Linked DNA regions of Macaca mulatta. The protein of the gene in region 4 purifies or fractionates together with the protein of the main gene of each other region. This does not show direct contact. Links are inferred from orthologs where the notes say so. Each region holds a gene or a part of one and is shown on either strand. Other genes may lie near its edges.

Region 1 (4,217 bases), on a different chromosome or scaffold from region 4:
GCAATATTTATCAAAATTCAAAATGGGTAAGTCTTGACCTAGGAATCCAACTTCTGTGAATTCTTACTATACTTACACTGTAGCACTGTTTATAACAACCAAAGACTAGAAACCAAAACTTCTATCATTAAGATATTAAGTAAATAATCGTACATTTATATGATGGAATTATTATATGGCTGTAAAAAAAAGAACCAGAGTTATCATGAATTCCTCTAGAAATATCTCTAAACTATGTATTTTCATTTCCAATTTTGATTATGAAAATCTTCTGAACAACAACAAAGTTGAAAGAATTTTACAGTGGACTTCCAATCTCTACCAGTTAGAGTCTACCTTTAGCATTTTACTATATTTATCACATATCTATTTATCTTCTAGAATACATATACTTTTAAGTGAAAAAAAGCAAGGTGTATAACAGTACATATAATATGCTATCTTGGGAGGCCGAGGCGGGTGGATCACGAGGTCAGGAGTTCAAGACCAGCCTGGCCAAGATGGTGAAACCCCGTCTCTACTAAAAATACAAAAAATTAGCTGGGTGTGGTGGCACACGCCTGTAATCCCAGCTACTCGGGAGGCTGAGGCAGAGAATAGGTTAAACCTGGGAGGCAGAGGTTGCAGTAAGCTGAGATCGTGCCACTGCACTCCAGCCTGGGCGACAGAGCAAGACTCCATCTCAAAAAAAACAAACAAACAAAAAACAAACACATATAGAGAGAGAAAAAGGAAAGAAAAATACAAATATTTGTATTTGCTCATGTCTGTAATTACTAAACTAGAAGGATATACAATAAAGGGAGCTATAAATGTGGTTGCATGTGTGCATGGAAGTGTGTATGTGTTTTGATAAATGGCTAGATACAAGACAACAAAGGCAAGGAGGGTTGTCACTGTTTACATTTTCATTTATTTTAATCTTCAAGCCATGTAAAAGATTAAACAAAAGATAAAAGTAACAATAGAAAAAATATTTCTGATTAGTTACAATTTCATAGCTACAAAAACTTCTGTTTTTATTTAAAATTTTTAGATGATTTTGTTTTAAATTGGCACCTAGTACTATAGAGAGACTAGTTAACTGCATGCATGTGTTTTAGAATGGCCAAAAACATCATACCAAATAAATCTTGATTAAATACTCAAATAATTAATGGGGATTTTGAGAATCAAAGTAAAACACATATAGAAGCACTAAAAAAGTGATTCTTCTTCACTAGGCTTAACCCTTTATGCTTATTTTTCATAGAAAATTGAAAATAAATACTATGTTTAAAAGCCAAAATTATGATAACCAAATAGTAAAGCTTTCCTAGTAATAAAACTGAAATGTAATACGTCACTCGGTGCTATTATGGTGACCAATTTATTTGTGGACTTACTATTTTAAACCGAAATCATAATTGGAGAATTTTAACTTCACAAATCAATATTGTTATTCTGTTTACGCTTTCTTCCACAGTATGTGTCCCACTGAAGAAAAAGTTCAGTTGATCCCCCTGAAGTTCATGAATTACTGAAGCAGTAAGAGCAATGAAAGTTCAGAAGATACTAATTTCTTAAAATAAGAATATTAATTCATAGTACCTTTCTCTCTTTCTTTAACGTACTCCGGTATAATTTAGGTCTCTTCACAACACCAGCATTTCATGCTTCTAATAACATTAGTTGTTGCTGCTTTGCTGCTTCTACCTTTGGCTTAAATCCTTACTTTTTTTTTTCTTTTCTGAGACAGAGTCTCACTCTGTCACCCAGGCTGGAGTGCAGCGGTGCAATCTTGGCTCACTGCAACCTCCCTCCTCCGGGGTTCAAGCGATTCCCCTGCCTCAGTCTCCCGAGTGGCTGGAATTACAGGCGCCTGCCACTACGCCCAGCTAATTTTCTTATTTTTATTAGAGATGGAGTTTTACCATGATGGCCAAGCTGGTCTCAAATTCCTGACCTCAGGTGATCTGTCTGCCTCGGCCTCCCAAAGTGCTGGGATTACAGGTGTGAGGCACTGTGCCTGGCCTAAATCCTTAAATTTTGAAATATAGAAAGTGGCAGGAAATTGAGCCAAAAAGGATACAAGTTTCTTCATACACCTGAATAGTAGCCATGTCACCCTCCAATCGAATAATCTCTCCAACCAACTCGCTGTGGCCCACTCTCACCAGCTCATACATGGCTGCACCCGCCATGTCACAGGCTGTAACCACTGAAGAGAACAAAAGACTATTTTGATGACTTAAAACTCTAGTGTTCTGTGAATAGTCACAAATTATTAAAACACCCAATAAACCCAGTATCGTGCCTCTCTCATATATTCATAAGAAGAATAAAAACCTACTATTGAACATACTGGTAGTTTCACATAGATACATTTTTAGTGTATAATATAAACAGATAAGCCAAAGATTATTTATTTACATAATATACATGAAAACTTTTCAAACATTTCAAGTTCTGCACGGCAAACTTACCTGGTAGGATTCAAGTATGTTCTGAGAGTTGCTATGATATATGGAGTGAAGGCTTTGGAACAATAAAAAAACTTTTAAAAGTAGAAATTGGAATAAATGGTTTGGCTAGTAGTATGGTGGAATGCCACACAATTATCACTTTGCTATGCTGTTACCATTTCCTTTGAGAGACAGACCTAAAGGAACATCTTTACTTTCTAACAACTTACAGCAGTGGTTCTTAAAACTATTCTGGGACATGGACCCTTTTGAAAAACTAATAATAGCTCTACTAGAAAAACTCACACGCACATCTACAAAATTTTTTTCATAGGCCATAAGGATATTTACAATCAGTCACCACCACTGGGTAAGAAATTATCAATGGAATTCCATTTACTGAACTTACTATTTTGGACCATGTTGTCTAGTAAGCAAAACTTACTTTTCTAGCAGGGAGGAAAGGAAAGGTTGCCATATTTTTAGACACGTGTAAGAATAAACCAATTTTTAATATTTAGCCTTGTGATACAACTGATTAGAACTATATAACAGGTAATACTTCAGTGGAAACTATTAAAGTTTTATGAGTTAATTAACCTGTGTTAAAACAATGAAGACTTATTCATTCTGTAAATATTTCCCTCTATACTGATTACTTAAGAATTAAGATGCACTGAAATACCAGAGATAGTGAAATTTAAAAATCATATTTCATAAGCCAAAAAAGGATGCCATTGTTCCATTGCCTTATTAAGTACTTAAGAATTAAAAATTGCAGGAGGCAAGGGGAGGGAGAGCATTAGGACAAATACCTAATGCATGTGGGGCTTAAAACCTATATAACAGATTGATAGGTGCAGCAAGCCACCATGGCACATGTATACCTATGTAACAAACCTACACTTTCTGCACATGTATCCCAGAACTTAAAAGTAAAATCTAAAAAAATTTTTTTTTAAAAATTGTTTCCAGGAGCAGTTTACTACACAGTTTCACAGAGTATTTTTTCCTGAACTCTTTGATGTTCTTTTGCTTTTTCTCTAAAAGTTCTTGGGTTTAGCCTGTCCTTCCTAAAGACCCTTATGATCATTGAGAGGACAATTATTTCTCTGCATGGCAAAAGATACTGATAACCTTTTAATGACTTGCCAATGAAATCAAGCTCAAACACCAAGTTCTTGGGGGAGAAAAAAGGGGACAGTGACTGACAGTTTTCATTTGCATAAACATCAAAAAACTGTCATCACCACTACTGTAACTGGAACAAGAAAAAGACTATATAGCATGAGGTTTGAAGGATAATACATCACTAAGCAGGCTTTACTTAGAGAAACTGTGACTGTGAATCACATTTTGTAGAGGGAGTATTCAATAACAAAACAAATACTGGCGCAAGATTTATTATTTAAAAAGCAGCACTCCACGTTTTGGCAGAATGGACACAAAGTTTGGGTACTAAAACTTCTTTCCCACAGGTAGTTAATAAGACACTTAACCATTCAAAAAGTTTCATAAATGCAAAAGGCAAAAGCTAATATTACTGAGAAATGCTCTGAGCATTTGAATTATTAAAGTTCAAAGCAAATTAACATTTACTGAATGCCTGCTATATGCAAGATATTACATATTAAAAGCAATATACTTCATAGTTTTTTTTACCTCAAATTTAACAAAAAATTAAGACACATAAAACTGAACACTGGTTGAACATTTACATAATTATAAACAGGATATCACAAAGCAGCACCTCAATAATTATCAAATTTAGAT
Region 2 (4,894 bases), about 120 Mb from region 4:
CAATGCTCAGCTAATAGGGAAACAGGGGAGACATCTGAGGAGGTTTGACAAGGAATGGGGGCCAAGGCAGGGGACAGCCACCTTCCCCGTGCATTCTCAGGGCCAGCAAAGTCTCACTGAGAGTCAGGTTCGGTATAGTGGAGCGCGACTGTGTGTTGGTGGTGGTGGGTGGGAGACTCGTCTCTTCCCTCCAGCACTGTCAAGGCAGGGTGAGAAGACATAGAAGGCAGTCATGGGGGTGGGGAGATCTGTAGGCAGCTGATTTGTGGTAACCTCAGGAGTAGGAGTCAGCTGCCTTACCCGCCCTACAGACAAGAGGAACTGGGGAGGGAACAGGGAAGCTGTGGGGAGGGGGTGGGGCAGCCAAGAGCATTTGCAGCAGGCCTCCCAGCCAGAGAAAATGGGAGTTGGCTATGTCCAGTCTGGACAGGACCGTCACCCCACTTGCTTTTGGTGGAAGGGGAGAGAGGTGAGATCTCAGAACATGCGGAGGAAGCACTGAAGTCTTTTGAGCTCTTAGGACCACAGTGGCCCTGACCCCATCCCTTTTTCTATACAACTTACAGATGTCCTTTGTCCTTTCGCTCCTACCCCCTACTCCAATCTCCAGCTTCCTCTGGCCTTTCCCAGTTAGGCCCTGAGGAGATTTTAATCAGCTTCCCTAACCTGTTTGGTATATACACTCGCCCAGTCTCCCCTCCCTTGTGGGCAGGACCTTGCTGCTGTTTGGCCGCCCAGGCTCCCAGTCGGAAAGCCCAGGAGTTGCTGGTGGTTCCTGTGGGCTTTCTTTAATTGAGAAATCACACCACTCCCTGCTCCACATTACCCAAGGCTTTCTTACACATTTAGAACTGCACCTGACCTTCCCCCTCATGGCCTACAAGGTCCTACTTCATTGCCTGGCCACCTGAGAACCATCTCCTACATCTCCTACCCCTTTCTCTCACTCACTGTGCTCCAGTCACACCAGGTCTTCCTTGAGCTTGCCAAGAGCACACCTCGCCCAGGGCCCTTGCATTTGCTGTTCCAGGAATGTCCTTCCCCCAACGGCTCCCTCCCTCCATTAAGATCTCTGCTCAGATATCACCTCCTCACCTCCTCACCTCCTCAGTGAGGCCCGGTCTGACCACCCTTATCTAAAACAGCATCCCAGTCACTCTGTCCCCTTAGCCTGTTTCCTTCCCTAAAGACTATAACACTGACATCATATAATATACCAACTTAGTATTTACTGGTCACCCTCATGAGAATGTCAGCTTCCTGATGGTGGGGGATTGGGTTCTTCTGCTCACTGCCGTATCCCCAACACTTCATAATACCTGGCACATAGTAGGCTTTCCATATTGGACAAATGAATGAATGGGTGAATGCCGAAAGACTGGGGGATCCTGGCTAGATGTTTTATGTGGATTATAAGAATTCCCCCTCACAGGCCGGGCGCGGTGGCTCATGCCTGTAATCCCAGCAGTTTGGGAGGCCGAGGTGGGTTGATCACGAGGTCAGGAGTTCAAGACCAGCCTGGCCAACATGGTGAAACCCTGTCTCTACTCAAAATACAAAAAAAAAATACAAAAATTAGCTGGGCGCAGTGGCAGGTGCCCTGTAATCCTAGTTACTCAGGAGGCTGAGGCAGAGAATTGCTTGAACCCAGGAGGTGGAGGTTGCATTGAGCTTACATTGCACCACTGCATTCCAGCCTGGGCAACAGAGCGAGACTCTGCCTCAAAAAAAACAAAAAAAACAAAAAAAACAAAAAAAAAGAATTCCCCCTCACAGCCCTCTGATGTAGGTGGTGTCTTCATTTTACAGATGTAGAAACTGTCATTGACAAAGATTATTTCATGCCTCCAATGGCTGGTTACATGGTGGAACTAGGACTCAGTTCCTATCTGACTATATTATTTACCACCTCCTGAAAAGACTTCAGGTCACCATCTGCCCACACAGCAACCAAGGGAGACTACAAGGGCAATGAGCCATACAGGCCACCAACAAGGGAGGGCCTAGCAGACGCTTGCTATCTTAGAATCATCTCATGGTCTGCACGCCTGCTTGGGGGCAAAGATCCTGGATGGGAGGGAAAACAGCATGCAGGTTATGAGCTCCAATTGGGAGGGAGGATTGACAGACTCAGGCTGGAACCAAAGTGGTGTCTATCAACTGTAGTGAAACATTGTATCTCGACAAACCTTACTTTCCTTGGCAGTAAAACCGAGATAATGACATCAGTATAGCAAGTGCCTACAAAGCACTAAACAGGTGATCATTTTCCAATTATCATTATTATGATCATCACAGCTAGAATTACAACTGTGCCACCCATTAGCTGTATGAGCTTGGGCAAGTCACTTAACCTCCAGCCTCAGTCTTCTCATTTATAAACGAACAGGGACAATAATCCCCACCCACCATATTGGAGTAAGTCAGATATCCAAAGTGCTTGGTAATCAGTAGGTACCTGGCCTCTGACCCGTCGCTTCCTCCAATCAAGTTGGTGCCATTTCCGAGGCTGTCGCCATGCCCACTGAAGCGTTTACTACAGGCCTTCCCATGAGACGACCCACACCTCCCTACGGTTGGGACAAGGTCACTGAAGCTTCCCTTGGGGAATGGGCGTCAGTGTCATGGGGGGAGGGGTTCCTGGCTGCCTCCCGATGACCGGGGGAGAGTGGGCTGGGGCAGGCGCACCTTGTCCTGCAGGAACAGCAGCACATTCCGGGGACCCAGCTCCAGGGCGGGATCTAAGTAGGCAGAGAGTTGCAAGTCGCTGGTGATGTGGCCTTCATGAGTGTCGGCAGGAGCCCACAAGTCCCTGGCAGGGGACAGAAGAGGTGCTGTCAGACGGGGGCGCATGTGGACTGGAGCTCTGTTGCCGGCAGATTCGCTGCGACCCCCGAGCAAAGAATAGTCCACCTCTGGGCCTCACCACCCCTCGCGTAGGACAGCGCGGGAGTCGGAGTCGGGCGAGGGCGCCTCAGCCGCCACAACGCATCCCACCCCGGCCCGCTCACCGGTCACTGGACCACAGCACCAGCGGGACCTGCTGCTCCGCCGCTGCCGCCGCCGCCGCCGCCGCCGCCAACGACAAAAACACCGGCAGCCACGGCATCCGCCAGAGCGCCTGGGCGCACCGCGGCCTCATCCGCACTCGAGCCGTCGCCGTGGCCGCCATCATAGCCTCAGCCTCCACTGCTTCAGCGGCCTCGACAGCCGCGGATCAGGTGACCGTTGCCCCCGCCTGAGCCCCGCCTCGCACCTCCATTGGCCCAAGCGCGGGCCGGCTGGCAGGGCCGCAGGTAATTGGACCAAGTGCATGCCACTCGCGGCCACTCCTTCTCACTGATTGGCTGTACGTGTCTCCAGGCACTCACACTCCGAGTGGGAAAGGGGATGGGGCCCACCTAGACCTACTAGGACGAGACAAGAGGGACAGGGAGGCTCCGCGAAACCCTGCGCGCACCCTACGCGTTCGCCCGTCCGTTTTTATTTATTTATTTATTTATTTATTTATTGTTGTTGTTGCTCTCTTCTTTTCTTTCTTTCTTTTTTTCTTTTTTCTTTCCTTTTTTTTTTTTTTTTAAGAGACAGAGTCTCCCTATATTGCCCAGGCTGGTCTCGCCTACCCCCACCCCCCAGCTCAAGCGATCCTCGCACCTCAGCCTCCGGAAAAGTGGAACTACAGGCGCGCATCGCCGCACCCGGCCAATCCTTGTTTTAATCCTTTTCCTTAAAATTGCAAAAGTGGTGTCTTTTTCCTGTAGATGGACCCTCCCTGATACAGGTGACAGGAGACTGTAATCCCTTAGAATGAGGACAGAAGCGAGCCCAGGATAGCATCTGCGGGAACACCCAGCACTTACTTTGGGTGGGAGAAGGGTCCAGAAAAGAGATCGGACAAGGAGCAACCGAAGAGGAAAGGGGGAAACCCAGAGCGAAGCGTGGCTTCAAAGACACCCTAACGGGCCGGGCGCGGTGGCTCACACCTGAAATCCCAGCACTTTGGAAGCCGGAGGCGGGCGAATCTTGATCAAGAGATCAAGATCATCCTGGCCAACATGTTGAAACTCCGTCAATACTAAAAATACAAAAATTAGCTGGGCATGCTGGCGCACTCCTGTAGTCCCAGCTACACGGGAGGCTGAGGCAGGAGAATCACTTGAACCCGGGAGGCGGAGGTTGCAGTGAGCCAAGATCACACCACTGCACTCTAGCCTGGCAAGAGTCCATCTCAAAAAAAAAAAAAAAAAAAAAAATTGTAGTCATGATTGTCACATGTGATTCAGACTAGGACGAGAATAGTGGCAGTTGAGCTGGATAGAGGAAGTGGGTCTGACGATACAGTCAAAGAAAATTGTAGCTTTTGGGTCTCTCTGAGTTGGGGACTGGGAGATGAGGTCACTTGGGGGCTCACTGAGTTTCGGGTGCTTAGGGAAACCCTCAAGTGGCCATTTCCAGGCCTGAACTAGCTGAGGAGAGAGGTTTTTGCTGGAGCTTCACTGTATCCCAGGAGAATCCAGCAAACTTAAAAAGGAAAGCATGTCTATTATGTTTCTGTTACTTTTGGTACATAGTTTCAAGGCAAAGACTTCCTCTGGAATGTGGAATGCAATCTTGCCTCTACCAGGACTCTGTTGCTGAGCTGCTTCCATCCTTAGGGGAGAAACCCACCTGTGACTGCTTTTATTCTTCCCTCCGTTGCCAGGGGTCCCTGGAGCGATGGCCCTTGAGGCTTCCTGAAGCACCTGCTATGGGCCAGGCACCCAGACTCTGCCCCCGAAGTTGACAGTCTAGTCTAGAGGACATGCAGGACAGCAGGTCATGATACAGGGTCATGCATGTTCCAAAGGTTGAGACATGGGACTGGGAGGGATGTAAGGAGATGGGCACCCATGAA
Region 3 (4,865 bases), on a different chromosome or scaffold from region 4:
GTTCTGGGCCGCAGGCTGCCCACTGCAGAGCAGTGCGCTCCAGGCACGCACTCGGGCACCACTGTTCTCCACGGGGCTCAGAGGAACTCTGGCAGGGAGGATGGGCAGTGCAGTCTGCAGCACCCGCGCTATCCAGATAGTCTTTGGAGAAACTTTCTTTTTTTTTTTTTTTTTTTTTTTGAGACGGAGTCTTGCTCTTTTCCCCAGGCTGTAGTGCAGTGGCACGCTCTTGCCTCACTGCAACCTCTGCCTCCCAGGTTCAAGCAATTCCTGCCTCTGCCTCTGTCTCCTGAGTAGCTGGGATTACAGGCGCGTGCCACCACGGCCAGCTACTTTTTGTATTTTTAGTACAGACGGGGTTTCACCATGTTGGTCAGGCTGGTCTCGAACTCCTGACCTCATGATCCGCCCGCCTCGTCCTCCCAAAGTGCTGGGATTACAGGCATGAGCCACCGCTCTAGAGAGAATTTCTATAGGACAAGGTAAAGCCTTTAAAACTGGGGACGAACTTGACACACCGTACACAGCGGGCAAGCTGCAAAACCCGGGTGCTGCAACGTCAACGACAAGTAAGTACCACTGTCACACGGAAGGAACTCTCAAAACCAACAGGAGAATCCAATGGGCAAGGAAAACGGCCTGCAAGCATTTGGAAAGACGCTTGGATATCCGAACACAAGTAAGTGCGGGGGGTTTACCGCGCAGACGCCCGCGGGACCGACCACCGTACCTTCGAGCGCGTGCCTCAGCCGCTCCTTCCTCTCCTGCGCCGAGCGCTGCGCCTCCTCCCGGGCCTTGCGGTACAGGTACTCGCGGCGCAGGCGGGCCTCGCGGCGCAGCTGCGGGAACAGCGGGCCCAGTCACTACTGGCTCCCGAGCCCCGGAGCCCCGGAGCCCCCGAGGCTCCAACGCCCCAGGGCCACATCCCCAGCACTTCACGCGTCCCGCAGCTCCGAAACAGGAGCTCAAACATCCTCCTACCATCTTGAGCGCCGCTTCCACGTGGGTCCGGGAGACTCTGTGGGTTCCTCTGGCGCCTCGCAGTCCTCACTTCCGCCCTCAACCAAGATGGTCCCTTAGACGCTTCACCGGTGCCTGCAGCCGTCGGGCATGCCCTGTGTTAAGATGGCGAATAGGGCTGGGCGGGGGAGGGGGCATGGCAAGGCGATTGGCCGTTCCAGGGGGCGTTCTCCTTGGGACAACCAATAGACTGGATACAGAATGTCGCACGCGGCCTCCGACTGCAGCTAATAAAGATGTCCGCCAGCGGCTTCCCCATCCCCGCCCTTCCCCCGCCACCGCCGTGCAGAATGCACGGTTTCAAGATGATGAACCGCTAAAACAATCATAATTAGCGGCTCGAACCAGTTCATCAGCTGTAAAAATGGCACACCGACTGATCTGGAGGTTGCCTGCCGGCTCCTTTCCAAATTAAAACCACTCTTCCCTCAACCAAAATGGTTTCTGCACAGCTTCGCTTTCTTCCATCGCCACAGCAGGGGCCCGAGTTCTAAGACTGGGCAGCTTCCGGAAGGACTCAGAACCACCTTCGGCCCCGGCCGACAGTCCGGCTGGCTGATCCACGTGGGGGCTAACTGGGGAAACCAGTCGATCGGTTGCTTCTGTGCTGCTTCTCTAAGTGCGCTTGCCCTTAAAGGAGCTGACCCGGAGGCCTAGGTGCTGCCGGCGTGGGGATCCCCAGCTGGGAACGCCCCTCCATGGAAGATCTCGTGTGCCCATTGGCTGTCCTGCCAACCGCGGGCGGTGACGGGGAAGGTGGCGGGTCCGGATCTGAATGCGTGTCCATGGCGGCGCTTGACCTGCGAGCGGAGCTGGACTCGCTGCTCCTGCAGCTGCTGGGGGACCTGGAGGAACTGGAGGGGAAGCGAGCGGTGTTGAACGCCCGGGTGGAGGAGGTAGGCGCCTGGGGCGGGCAGGAGGGCACACGGGCGTAAACTGAGGCTCACCGCTGTCCTCTCCTTGCAGGGCTGGCTGTCGCTCGCCAAGGCTCGCTACGCGATGGGCACCAAGTCGGTGGGGCCCCTGCAGTATGCTTCCCACATGGAGCCCCAGGTCTGCCTCCAGGCCAGGTGAGGAAGCGTCCATGCTGGGCTGGGTGGGCGGGCGCGCTCCAGGCCCGGGGTGCCAAAGCTCCATCCTCCCTTCTTGTCCTTCAGCGAGGCCCAGGAGGGACTCCAGAAGTTCAAGGTGGTGAGATCTGGTGTCCACGCCCCAGAGGAGGTGGGGCCTCGCGAAGCAGGTGAGCCCCCTCTTCCTTCTGCAGAACCCCTTCCCAATGTCAAAGACAAAATGCAAATGATGGAGATGGTTTTAATTAGGTTTTTGCGATAAGAGAGAGCATCCCAGAGCTGAAGAACAGAATGTTTTTGTAGGGTGGTTTTGCCTTAGACTTTTATAGGGAGGAGTAGAGAAGTTGGGGAGTTGCTTTACACTGGGAATAGTTTTACAATCACTTAAGTTTCAGTCAGCTGAACAGAAAATATTCATCTGTGTGTCTAGCTAGTTTCAGAGGGACAAACTTCTAATCCCAGTTAATCATTCCTGAGACAAAGAATGGGGAGTTGGAACGTCTGTGTCTGGTCTGTCAGCATGTTCAGGTCCAATGGGTAAGGTCAGTGTCACAGGCAAACAGGGTCATCGGCAGGTCCTACAGGAGTCATGGGAAAGAGTGGACAAACAGTCTCATCTGAATCACAAGGGGAAAGGCTGTGTTTTGTGGTAAGCTGTTTCCTGGAACCCCAAAGTTGGAATTTTCCAACCAACAGTGTTTTCTAGAATCATGAGCTCAGATCAAGCTCAACATTGTCACCAAGACGATACAGGCCAGGGAGTAGGATCCCAGCCTACTCCAACCTTTCTTTCCTCAGCTCTGCGGAGGCGCAAGGGCCCCACTAAGACCCCAGAACCGCAGTCCTCTGAGGCCCCTCGGGACCCCCTGAACTGGTTTGGAATCCTGGTTCCTCACAGTCTACGTCAGGCTCAAGCCAGCTTCCGGGATGGTGAGTGGACCCTGTTGTTTGGCTGTGTGGCCCTCAGACCCTCTATCCACAGGGAACACTGGAGCACTGCTGCCATGGCTGGGGTTAGTCTGTGAAAGACTTTGCAGGTTTCTCTTCATCCAAACTTCTGTTGTTACCCACTGTGTTTTCCAAAAGCATTTACTGATAGTTGGCAGCATTCGGGTTCATGCTAGCTGCTGGGGATACAGCAGAGAACAAAAGAGAAAAACACCTTTTCATGTAATGTTTAGGAGCAGAGAAAGGCAATGTGCAGATAAGTAATAAGTCAGGATGTGAAAATTGTTACGAAAAACACATAATGGAGTGGGACAGGAGTGGGCCAAGGTAGCTATTTTACGAAGGGTGGCCAGGGGAAGTCTCTCTGAGGAGGTGAAGGAAAAGCTTTGTGGGTGATTTTGGGGAATGGTGCTCTAGATGGAGGAACCAGCCAGGACAAAAGCCCTGAAGCCATATATATCAGGTATGTGCAGAGGCTGATGGCCTGAAGTGGAGTCAGATGAAGACTGTGGGACGCACAGAGAGGCTCTGAGCAGAGGATGGTTCGACTGGCTGCACAGGGTCACAGGAATCCTTGGGTGCTGGTTGGGGACACAGAGCAGAGGGAGGAAGCGGGCGTCAGGGAGCGGCCAGTGCGAGAAGCAGATGGCGTCACTGGAGGAGGAGGTAAGTGGTGGGAACCTGCACAGGTTTTAAGAGTAGAAGCCGGCTGGGCGCGATGGCTCAAGCCTGTAATCCCAGCACTTTGGGAGGCTGAGACGGGCGGATCACGAGGTCAGGAGATCAAGACCATCCTGGCTAACATGGTGAAACCCCGTCTCTACTAAAAAAAATACAAAAAAACTAGCCAGGCGTGGTGGTGGGCGCCTGTAGTCCCAGCTACTGGGGAGGCTGAGGCAGGAGAATGGCGTAAACCCGGGAGGCGGAGCTTGCAGTGAGCTGAGATCTGGCCACTGCACTCCAGCCTGGGCGACAGAGCAAGACTCCGTCTCAAAAAAAAAAAAAAAAGAGTAGAAGCCTCAGAATTTGCTGACAGATAAGATATGGGAGTAAGGGAAGGAAAGGAGTCCAGGAAAGCCCCCGGTCTCCACTCAGAACCCCTGGAGGATGGAGTGACCCTCACCCACTGTGGGCAGCTGAGGGGATGCCGGAAGGCAGGAGTTGGTGTGGTCTGTGTGGTGTCTACTGATGTCCTGCTGGACAGTCTGAGTGGGCACTTGGGCACATACCTCTGGAGTTTGGGAAAGGCCTGGGCTGGAGAGAGATTTGGGAGTCACTGCATAGCACTGTTTAAATTCCAAAGTTTTTGACACAAACACTGGTTTCAAGCTGAAACAGGACGAGATCAGCAGAGGGCCTGGGGGGTATGGACAGGAGGTGAGGGAGAGGAGGGGAGAAGCCAGTCAAGGAAACTTAGGAGCAACACCTGGGAGCAGGTGTCCTGGAGGCCAAGAAGAGAAAGTGTTTCCTGGAGCAAGCGATCCAGTGTGTGGTCAGCCCTGCTGCTGAACAGGAGGCTGAAGACTGAGAGCTGCCCGGAGGACTGGGCAGCAGCTGTTCCAGCAGAGACATCGGCACAAGCCACCTAGAGGTGGATCCAGAGTGTGGACTACTGTTGGGGCAGAGAAAAGAAGTGGAGGTGAGGGGAGCGAGAGGCTGTAGTCATGGGGGAAGGAAGGAAATGAGAGCATGAGATGGTATTACTAGCTGTGAATTTTTACTTCCTGGTGGGTGATATAATGGGTCCGGGAAGTCTGAGGAGGTAACGTTTTAGCAAAGACCTGAAGGAGGTGTAAGACTGCAGAGGTTCTGGAGCAGCCAATGCAG
Region 4 (4,217 bases):
GCAGTGGCCTGATCTTGGCTCACTGCAACCTCCACCTCCTAGGTTCAAGAGATTCTCCCACCTCAGCCTCCCAAGTAGCTGGGACCACAGGTGCACAACACCATGCCCAGATCATTTTTATATTTTTTGTAGAGACAGGATTTTGCCATGTTGCCCAGGCTGGTCTTGAACTCCTGGGCACAAGGAATCTACCTGCTTCAGCCTCCCAAAGTGCTGAGATTACAGGCGTGAAGACCATACCCGACCATCTAGTTCTTTACAACCTTAAACTTGATTACAGATGGCTGTTAAAATAACTTTGAGAAAGAATTATTAGTAAACTAATGATAGTTATTTTTAGTAGGAATTGTTTTATTTATAAAGAGCTTAGTCTAAAGAGGATGTTTTAATGACCATCTTGCTATGTTGCTGTGAAAGATAAAAGTGATGCTGTATATAAGGGCAAAAAATGATGTGGGGGAAGAAAATTTCCGTAGCTACATGAAGAAAAGAATTATTTTGTGATCTGTTATTTGAAAGGTACCTATGTTTTGTTTACTTGCTTTTTTCCACAAAAGGTGTGAGATAACTTACTATTAGACTTTGTTTCAAATCTGTAGAATTTTAAGAAAATGAAGAGGGTAGAAATCAGCATTCTTAATTAGGAGATTGCAGCGACTGCCACAAATAAAATGTTTACTTTCCCTGTGAATTTTCCTTGTCAGTGTCATCCCAGAACCCCTTAACTCTGCTTATTAGATGTTATTGGGGAGGTGGGTTCCTGAGTTGATAATTAAGCACCGTTTTGTGCTTTTCAATGTTTAGGACCTTTCTTGGCCAGGACTCGCAGTGGGTAACCTGTTTCATCGTCCTCGGGCTACTGTCATGGTGATGGTGAAGGGAGTGGACAAACTGGCTCTACCCCCAGGCAGTGTCATTTCATACCCTTTGGAGAATGTGAGTATTTATTATAAAAAATTAAAGGGATGTGTTTTACATTTTCCCTTGTCAGCTGCCATTATGAATTGCATTCTAAACATACTTATCTTATCTGTTTCTGATGCACGGTTTCTTTTGAAATTCTTTTACAAACACAATTTCTTTTTAAGAAAATTACATGATGATTGTAATTGATTGAGGCTTGGCTGTTCTCTGTGGATGAGAGTACTGTTTAAGATAAGAGATAGAGAAATTGCCCCACTCAGAATAGCCAGAGGCTCGAAAAAGAGAGCCACCAAAGGAGAAACCAGGTGGGGGTGTATCCTGCTGCCATTTTCTTGGCCATTGTCTTGTCATCTTCCCTGCAGGATTTTACCTCTTTTTGTGTGTAAGGACACTGGAGGCTGCTTGCTGGCTCACTTACTCCTTCACTGGCCATTCAGGCAATGTGGGTGACTGTGCTGATCTGAGAGGCCCTCCTTCCATTATAAGCATAGAGAAGTGCTTGAAAGAATGTCACAAAAACATTTTTACTAGCATAAGTAAATTTGAATGCAAGAGGGGGCGATATACACAGGTGTTACATATGGATGGAAAACTCAGAAGCCATAGTGGTGAGCAGGAGCTGATGCTGAAACTGTGTTTCCTGCAGAAATCCAGGGACTAGAAAATGCTGTCAACTTGTTCTTGAAAAGAGGACTGGTAAAACTAGTAAAGCTGGCTTGCTGCCCTTGGCTGTTGGACCCAAAGAGTCCCCTGAGAGAAATTAGAATTAGAATTATAGGCTTATGCTGTGTAGAGTGGTTCTTTCCAAATTCACATGACCTGCCCCATAGGGACACCTCCACAGCCAAGGGCTCCTTTGGTCAAATATGGAAGATGAGTGGAATTTACAAAGCACCTGAAGGAAAAAAAATGCCACGAGAAACTAGGTGCAACAAACAGAATTCATCTCCTTAGAACTACAGAGAATAGGCCAATTTCCAAGAGACCTAAAAATACATACGTTAAAATTGTGAAAAAAAAAAAAGGGCCAGACATGGTGGCTCACACCTGTAATCCCAGCACTTTGGGAGGCCAAGATGGGAGGATTGCTTGAGGCCAGGAGTTCGAGACCAGCTTGGTCAACATAGCAAGACCCTATCTCTGGGGAGGGGAGAAGAAGAAAGAAAGAGAAAAAATTTGTGAAAAAAAGGAAGGAACAGAAACTATGAGGGAGTTATAAGATATTTTTGATATATGGTGCTTTAGTTGATACTTCAAAATATTTCATAATTTGTATTGTGATTCTTTAACCCATGAGTTATGTAGAAGTATTTTTTCCAAATGCATGAGTTTTAAAAACATAATTTCTAATTTTTAAATTTCTAAGTTCACTGCATTGTAATACTGTGGTCTATGTGATGCTGAAGTTTTGGGAATTTTTTTTTTTTCAGACTTTCCTGTGGTCTAGTATAGATTATTTCCAAGCACACATGGCATACTTAGAAAAAATTACTATGCACTAATCCACAAGGCAAATCTCAACAAACAATAAAGAATCAGTATCATATAAACTACCTTCTCTGACCACAATGCAGTTAAATCTGAAAATAATAATAAAACAATATCTTAAAAGGGTATTTGGAGCCCGACACCATGCCTCATGCCTGTAATCCCAACACTTTGAGAGGCCGAGGCGGGTGAATCACTTGAGGCCAGGAATCCGAGACCAACCTGGCCAACATGGCTAAACCCTGTCTCTACTGAAAATACAAAAATTAGCCAGGCGTGGTGGCACACGTCTGTAGTCCCAGCTACTTGGTGGCTGAGGCACGAGAATTACTTGAACCCAGGAGGTGGAGGTTGCAGTGAGCTGGGATTGCGCCACTGCACTCCAGCCTGGGTGACAGAGCGAGACTCTACCTGAAAAAAAAAAAAAGAAAAAGCTATTTGGATCAACATTTCTCCTTTCCCCATCCACCTGTCTTCCCCAGCCTCTTCTAACCATCATTCTGCTCTCTACTTCTATGAGTTCAACTTACAAGTGAGGTCATGTAGTATTTGTCCTTCTATGCCTGGCTTATTTCACTTAACATAATGTCCTCCAGGTTTATCCATGTTGCAAATGACAGTTTACCCCACTTTAAAGGCTGTATAGTATTCCATTATGTTTATATACCACATTTTCTTCTGCCGAGACCAGCTGGGTTGGGGAGACCAGCGGTGCTAGAGGAATTAAAGACACACACACAGAAATATAGACGTGTGAAGTGGGTAATCAGGGGTCTCACAGCCTTCAGAGCTGAGAGCCCCGAACAGAGATTTACCCACATATTTATTAACAGCAAAGCAGTCATTAGTGTTGTTTCTATAGATATTAAATTAACTAAAAGTGTCCCTTATGGAAAATGAAGGATGGTCCGAATTAAAGGAATAGGTTGGGCTAGTTAACTGCAGCAGGAACATGCCTTTAAGACACAGATCGCTCATGCTATTGTTTGTGGTTTAAGAATGGCTTTAAGCGGTTTTCCGCCCTGGGCGGGCCAGGTGTTCCTTGCCCTCATTCCTGTAAACCGACAACCTTCCAGCTTGGGCGTTAGGGCCATTATGAACATGTCACAGTACTGCAGAGATTTTGTTTATAGCCAGTTTTGGGGCCAGTTTATGGCCAGATTTTGGGGGGCTTGTTCCCAACACACATTTTCTTCTTTCTGCTTTTTTCTTTTTTTTGAGACAGAATCTTGCTCTGTCACTCAGGCTGGAGTGCAGTGGTGCGATATCATCTCACTGCAACTTCTGCCTCCTGAGTTCAAGGGATTCTGGTGCCTCAGCCTCCTGAGTAGCTGGGATTACAGGTGCACGCCACCACGTCCGGCTAATTTTTTGTATTTTTAGTAGAGATGAAGTTTCATCATGTTGGCCAGGCTGGTCTCAAACTCCTGAGTTCAGGTGATCCACCCACCTCAGCCTCCCAAAGTGCTGGAATTACAGGCATGAGCCACTGCATCCAGTTGCACATTTTCTTTTATCCATTCGTTTGATTATGGACACCGACGTTGCTTCCATCCATATCTTAGAAATTGTAAATAGTGCTGCAGTGAACATGGGAGTGCAGTTACCTCTTCAGCATACTGACTTCAATTGCTTTGGATATATATACCCAGAAGTGGGCTTGCTGGATCATGCTTTAGTGATCTGTTGCACAGAATGGTGACTATATTAAATAATAATGCGGTGTATATTTCAAAACTGCTAAAGGAGTAGATTTTAGATACTTTTACCACAAAAAAAGATAAGTATGTGAGGTGATGGATTTG
Region 5 (4,773 bases), on a different chromosome or scaffold from region 4:
GACCAGAGCTGGTCTTCTCTGATCCAAGGACCAGTCCTTGAGTTCTGCCTCCCAGCACGATCCTCTTGGGCCAGCTCTTCTATGCCTGTCTTTGGCAGCACCTTTTTCCATCCTTGCCAATTGAATCTGCCCCATGGCCTCACCCCACACATGTACTTTCCAGCACCCAGCCCGTTTGGAGAGAAGCAAGAATATGACTTTAATTTAACATCAACAATGACACTGTGTAACAGCACAGGGAACAGGTAGTGGAGGGAGATGGTCAGGCTTCCTGTTCCTTAACCAGCTTTAACAGCAGAGCCCCAGCAACCTAGAAGTGCCTCACCTAGCCTCTTAATGGAGTGGGAATGGGCAGGGAATTGGAAATCAGAGGCTCAAAAAGTAAAGAAGGCTGATGGCAAGCCTGGGGAGAGGCCTGGAAACGAGGGAAGGGCTGAGGGCTGTGAGGAGTCCCCTAGCGCAGGTCTTCAGCAGTGAACATGCCCCTGGCCCTGCGCAGAATGGAGTCCTTGGCGGCGTCATATGGGTGCTCCTTGGAGGGGATCTCCAGGACAGCGGGGATGGAGTGCTGGTGGGCGTCCAGGGCATGCCGCACCATCTCTGCGATGTACTGGTTGATGAGGATGATGCCAATGTCATCCCGGTTTAGAAACTGCCTGTGGGGAGAGATGAGACGGGAGTCTAGGGCAGCTCTGGGGGCTGCCTTCTCTCCTGCCTCCAAGTTGTTGGGCTGGGCAGTGGAGGAGAATGAGTGTGACCCAGAGGGCACAGAGGACAAGGAGAAAGGCGGCCACGCTCAACCCTATGTCAACTCTACCAAGAATCAATTTCATCCCAAAGCGGAGGGTCATGCTGACTAGGGTTGGCTTCTGCAACGCTGCCTGAAACGCTTCCAAGTGAACTGGTAATGAAAATTAGGGTGCACACTGCAGTGATGGTGTCAACCCTATGTCAATATGCAGTGATGGTGTCAGAAAGGGGAAGGATAAGATTATATGTATACAGATCCTTTTTTATGTGCAGATACTGAAGGCCGGGTGCAATGGCTCATGCCTGTAATCCCAGCACTTTGGGAAGCCGAGGCGGGTGGATCGCTTGAACCCTGCAGTTTGAGACCAGAATGGGCCACATAGTGAGACTCCCATCTCTACAAAAAAAAAGAAAAAAAAATGTGTACATATATACAAAAAATTGGCTCGATGTGGCAGCATGTACCAGCTGCTTGGGAAACTGTAGTCCCAGCTACTTGGGAGGCTGAGGTGGGAGAATCACTTGAGCCTGGGAAGTCGAGGCCACAGTGAGCTGTGATCACGCCACTGCACTCCAGCCTGGGTGACAGGAGTGAGACCCTGTCTCAGAAAAAAAAAAAAAAAAAGGACACATTAACTTTTAGAAAGAAAACAAATTAATTTAAAAATAGGGCTGATGAGACCACTGAAGGCCTCAAGGTCTATGCTGATGAGGGTGGTGGAGGGGTCAGAGGGAAAGTCTGGCATGAACCAAGATCACAAGCTAGGAAGAGGACACTCTGATGAAGGAATCATACTTTCTGCCCAAAAAGAACCTGGCCTCGTGATCCTCCTCTCCTATGATCACCCACCCATTCATTCGTTTATTTTATTTTTTTGAGACAGGGTCTCCCTCTGTCACCCAGGCTGGAGTGCAGCGGCGGATCTCGGCTCACTGCAACTTCCGCCTCCCAGGTTCAAGCAGTTCTCCTTCTTCAGCCTCCTGATTTGCTGGGATTACAGGCACCCTCCACGACGCCTGGCTAATTTTTGTATTTTTAGTAGAAATGGGGTTTCACCATATTGGTCAGGCTGGTTTCGAACTCCAACCAGCCTGGCGGGTGGAACTCAGGTGATCCACCCGCCTCGGCCTCCAGAAGTGTTGGGATCACAGGCGTGAGCCACCGCGCCCAGACTCATTCATTTATTTACTGGTTAAAAATTATTTACTGAGCACCCACCCCCCACCAGTCACTGGGTTAGATTTGATCTCTGAGGTCCCTTTTGATTGGAAACATAAAAAATTCTTGAAGTAAAATTTGTCCTTCTCCCATGGTAACTTGGGTCACTTTACCAGACAGCTTAGAGATCGGCAGGTAACAGCCTACCAGGTCAGGAACTACCTAATACACCAGGCAGCAGGAACCAGTCTCAGCCGGCAGCCCTGGGCTGGACTGTTTGGGGGGAAACAGGTGAGTGGTTTATTCCTGAGACTTAGTACAGCGAACCTGAAGAAGGGGTGAGGGATAGAATAGGAGGCTGTTATCCTCAATTCAGGTCACCAGGACCCCTGGTGGATTAAAGGCATGTCTGCGCCCACACTCTGACCTAAGGCAGGGAGTGAGGGCTTGAGTGCAAGGTCTTAGCAGAAGGCTCTCACAGTCCTGACATTTTCTGCCTACTGTGCTCAAGAGCAAAGGGAAATTCCGAGGCCGACTGAGGAGAGCTGTACAGAGTGTGTACCTGGCTTACCAAAGGCAGAAAGGGTTAGGATTAGGTTCAAATTCCAGGTCTGCCTCTGCCCACTTGTAACTTTAGTGTGTGCCTTAACCTCTCCAAGCTTTAGTTTTCTCACCTGTAAGTAGGACAAAATCACCCCTGCCTTACCGGACGACGGTGAGCCTGTAAAGGAGGGGAAAGCAGAACAAAGTCCGAGCCCACTGCCTAGCCCGTCACGAGCTCTGTTCCCCTTCTTTCCTGACACACGATCATGTGAGGTGGGGAGCTCGTGGACCTGATACAGCGTCGGTGCCACCCAGCCCCAAACGGGAACTTGGGGCGCAGCGGCGGGCGGGCGGACTTTCACGACCATCCCCTAACCCCCGTCCGGGCCTCACGCCTCGGTCCCCGGGCCGCCTCCACCCTCGCCCCGCACTCCACCAGGCAGCAGAAGGGCCCGTTCAGGCCTCGCGCGCTACCGTACCGGAAAGTGTCTTCGATTTCATTGATTGTTGTATCCTTCTCCACCACCAGGAAATTGGGGTGGCGGTTCTTGTTAAGCTCCCCTATGCCGCCCAGCAGGAAACCAGTCACCGTGTCCTCGTCTCCGATGACTGCGATGAGCTTCCCCCTCCCCGCCATCCCCGCTGCCGGGCAGAGCTCACCCGAGAGCACCAAAAGCCGCCGAAGCCCCGCCTCCGCCGTACGGCTCCCCGTCGGCCCCACCCCCCTTCGGGCATGCGCAGTTCTCCGAGCCGCATTCCGGGACATGCGCATGAACAGCAACACGGCCTCCATGTGAATACGCCTGCGCCATAAAGACAGGCCCGAAGCAGGGGACTACGATTCCCAGAAGGCTGCGCGGCACCACCTCCTTCGCGGGCATTCATTCGTTCATTGACTCTTTCCTTGGTTCATTCGTTCAACAAGCGATTTGAACCTGGCGCTGTTTAAACGCCGAGATCCCAGAGAAGAGACGCAGTTACTGATCTCATCGGCAGGGTCTGGGTCTTTATCGTGTATGTGTGTACCTATGACACATATTTAACAAGTAATACGCATTTGTTCAATTAAAGGAATGCAGAAGTTAGTGATGATACTGTCTAGTGAGATGGAAAGTCAAGGGAATAGGCGACTACAGAGCTGTGTGTTAATGGTTAGAATGTGAAAAGTATATGGAAGCACACATCCATGGTAACTAACCCATGGAGAGAGGGGGCATCCAAAGAACCCTTCCCCAAGAAACTTGCTTCAGATCTAAGCTGAGACCTGAAGGACCTGCAGGATGAAGGGGATAGAAGTGAGGACAAGACGGTGTTCTAGGCAGAGGAAGAGCATATGCAAAGGCGTACTGACTAGAGAGCGTAGGGCCTTCAAGGAAAGTTAAAGAATTGGTAAGGCCAGGCATGGTGGCTCATGCCACGCCTATAATCCCAGCACTTTGGGAGTGCTTCCCTGATGGAGGAGGATTGCTTGAGCTCAGGAGTTGGAGACCAGCCTGGGCAACACAGTGAGACCCTGTCTCTGCAAAAAATTTTAAAAATTAGCCAGGTAGGCCAGGTGCGGTGGCTCACTCCTGTAATCCCAGCACTTTGGGAGGCCAAGGCAGGTGGATCACCTGAGGTCAGGAGTTTGAGACCAGCCTGGCCAACATGGCAAAAACCTGTCTCTATTAAAAATACAAAAAATTAGTTGGGCATGGTTGTGGGCACCTGTAGTCCCAGCTACTCGAGAGGCTGAGGCAGGAGAATTGCTTGAACCTGGGAAGTGGAGACTGCAGTGAGCCGAGATTGTGCCATTGCACTCCAACCTGGGCGACAGAGCGAGACTCTGTCTCAAAAAAAAAAAAAAAAAAATTAGCCAGGTGTGGTGGCGCACACTTATAGTTCCAGGTACTCGAGAGGCTGAGGCAGCAGGGCTTGCTCAGGAGTTCAAGGTTACAGTGAGCTATGATCAGGGCACTGCACTTGAGCCTGAGCAGCAGAACGAGACCCTGTCTGAAAAAAAAAAAAAAAAAAAAGGGATCTGCAGGCCAGGTACGGTGACTCACGCCTGTAATCCCAGCACTTTGGGAGGCCGAGGCAGATGGATCACCTGAGGTCAGGAGTTTGAGACCAGTCTGGCCAACATGGTGAAATCCTGTCTCCACTAAAAGTACAAAAAACATTAGCCCAATGAGGTGGTGTGTGCCTACAGTCCCAGGTACTTGGGAGGCTGAGGCAGGACAATTGCTTGAACCCGGGCAAGGGAGGTTGTGGTGAGCTGAGATGGCGCCACTGCACTCCAGCCTGGGTGACAGAGCGAGACTCTGTTTAAAAAAAAAAAA

The links.
Region 1: the proteins of ATP6AP2 (region 4) and ATP6V1A purify together in Homo sapiens (co-immunoprecipitation; 3 studies listed by BioGRID and IntAct, with this or other methods). This does not show direct contact. The link is inferred for Macaca mulatta from reciprocal best matches to the Homo sapiens genes ATP6AP2 and ATP6V1A.
Region 2: the proteins of ATP6AP2 (region 4) and ATP6AP1 purify together in Homo sapiens (affinity purification with mass spectrometry; 5 studies listed by BioGRID and IntAct, counting the BioPlex papers as one, with this or other methods). This does not show direct contact. The link is inferred for Macaca mulatta from reciprocal best matches to the Homo sapiens genes ATP6AP2 and ATP6AP1.
Region 3: the proteins of ATP6AP2 (region 4) and CCDC115 purify together in Homo sapiens (affinity purification with mass spectrometry; 3 studies listed by BioGRID and IntAct, counting the BioPlex papers as one, with this or other methods). This does not show direct contact. The link is inferred for Macaca mulatta from reciprocal best matches to the Homo sapiens genes ATP6AP2 and VMA22.
Region 5: the proteins of ATP6AP2 (region 4) and ATP6V1F purify together in Homo sapiens (affinity purification with mass spectrometry; 3 studies listed by BioGRID and IntAct, counting the BioPlex papers as one, with this or other methods). This does not show direct contact. The link is inferred for Macaca mulatta from reciprocal best matches to the Homo sapiens genes ATP6AP2 and ATP6V1F.

The regions. Positions count from the first base shown.
Region 1 is NC_133407.1:169,945,544-169,949,760, forward strand, and holds part of ATP6V1A (V-type proton ATPase catalytic subunit A), read right to left. Parts: intron 2,201-4,217; coding exon 2,072-2,200; intron 1-2,071. UniProt on the Homo sapiens protein: Catalytic subunit of the V1 complex of vacuolar(H+)-ATPase (V-ATPase), a multisubunit enzyme composed of a peripheral complex (V1) that hydrolyzes ATP and a membrane integral complex (V0) that translocates protons.
Region 2 is NC_133426.1:160,610,481-160,615,374, reverse strand, and holds the start of ATP6AP1 (V-type proton ATPase subunit S1), read right to left. Parts: upstream 3,213-4,894; 5' UTR 3,176-3,212; coding exon 3,012-3,175; intron 2,813-3,011; coding exon 2,689-2,812; intron 11-2,688; coding exon 1-10. UniProt on the Homo sapiens protein: Accessory subunit of the proton-transporting vacuolar (V)-ATPase protein pump, which is required for luminal acidification of secretory vesicles.
Region 3 is NC_133417.1:6,445,110-6,449,974, reverse strand, and holds the start of CCDC115 (vacuolar ATPase assembly protein VMA22), read left to right. Parts: upstream 1-1,793; 5' UTR 1,794-1,805; coding exon 1,806-1,916; intron 1,917-1,986; coding exon 1,987-2,090; intron 2,091-2,177; coding exon 2,178-2,260; intron 2,261-2,888; coding exon 2,889-3,020; intron 3,021-4,865. Other genes in the region: U3 small nucleolar ribonucleoprotein protein IMP4, read right to left, coding at 731-839, 982-984. UniProt on the Homo sapiens protein: Accessory component of the proton-transporting vacuolar (V)-ATPase protein pump involved in intracellular iron homeostasis.
Region 4 is NC_133426.1:40,468,182-40,472,398, forward strand, and holds part of ATP6AP2 (renin receptor precursor), read left to right. Parts: intron 1-804; coding exon 805-936; intron 937-4,217. UniProt on the Homo sapiens protein: Multifunctional protein which functions as a renin, prorenin cellular receptor and is involved in the assembly of the lysosomal proton-transporting V-type ATPase (V-ATPase) and the acidification of the endo-lysosomal system.
Region 5 is NC_133408.1:168,496,634-168,501,406, reverse strand, and holds ATP6V1F (V-type proton ATPase subunit F), read right to left. Parts: upstream 3,123-4,773; 5' UTR 3,090-3,122; coding exon 2,932-3,089; intron 902-2,931; coding exon 818-901; intron 657-817; coding exon 455-656; 3' UTR 175-454; downstream 1-174. UniProt on the Homo sapiens protein: Subunit of the V1 complex of vacuolar(H+)-ATPase (V-ATPase), a multisubunit enzyme composed of a peripheral complex (V1) that hydrolyzes ATP and a membrane integral complex (V0) that translocates protons.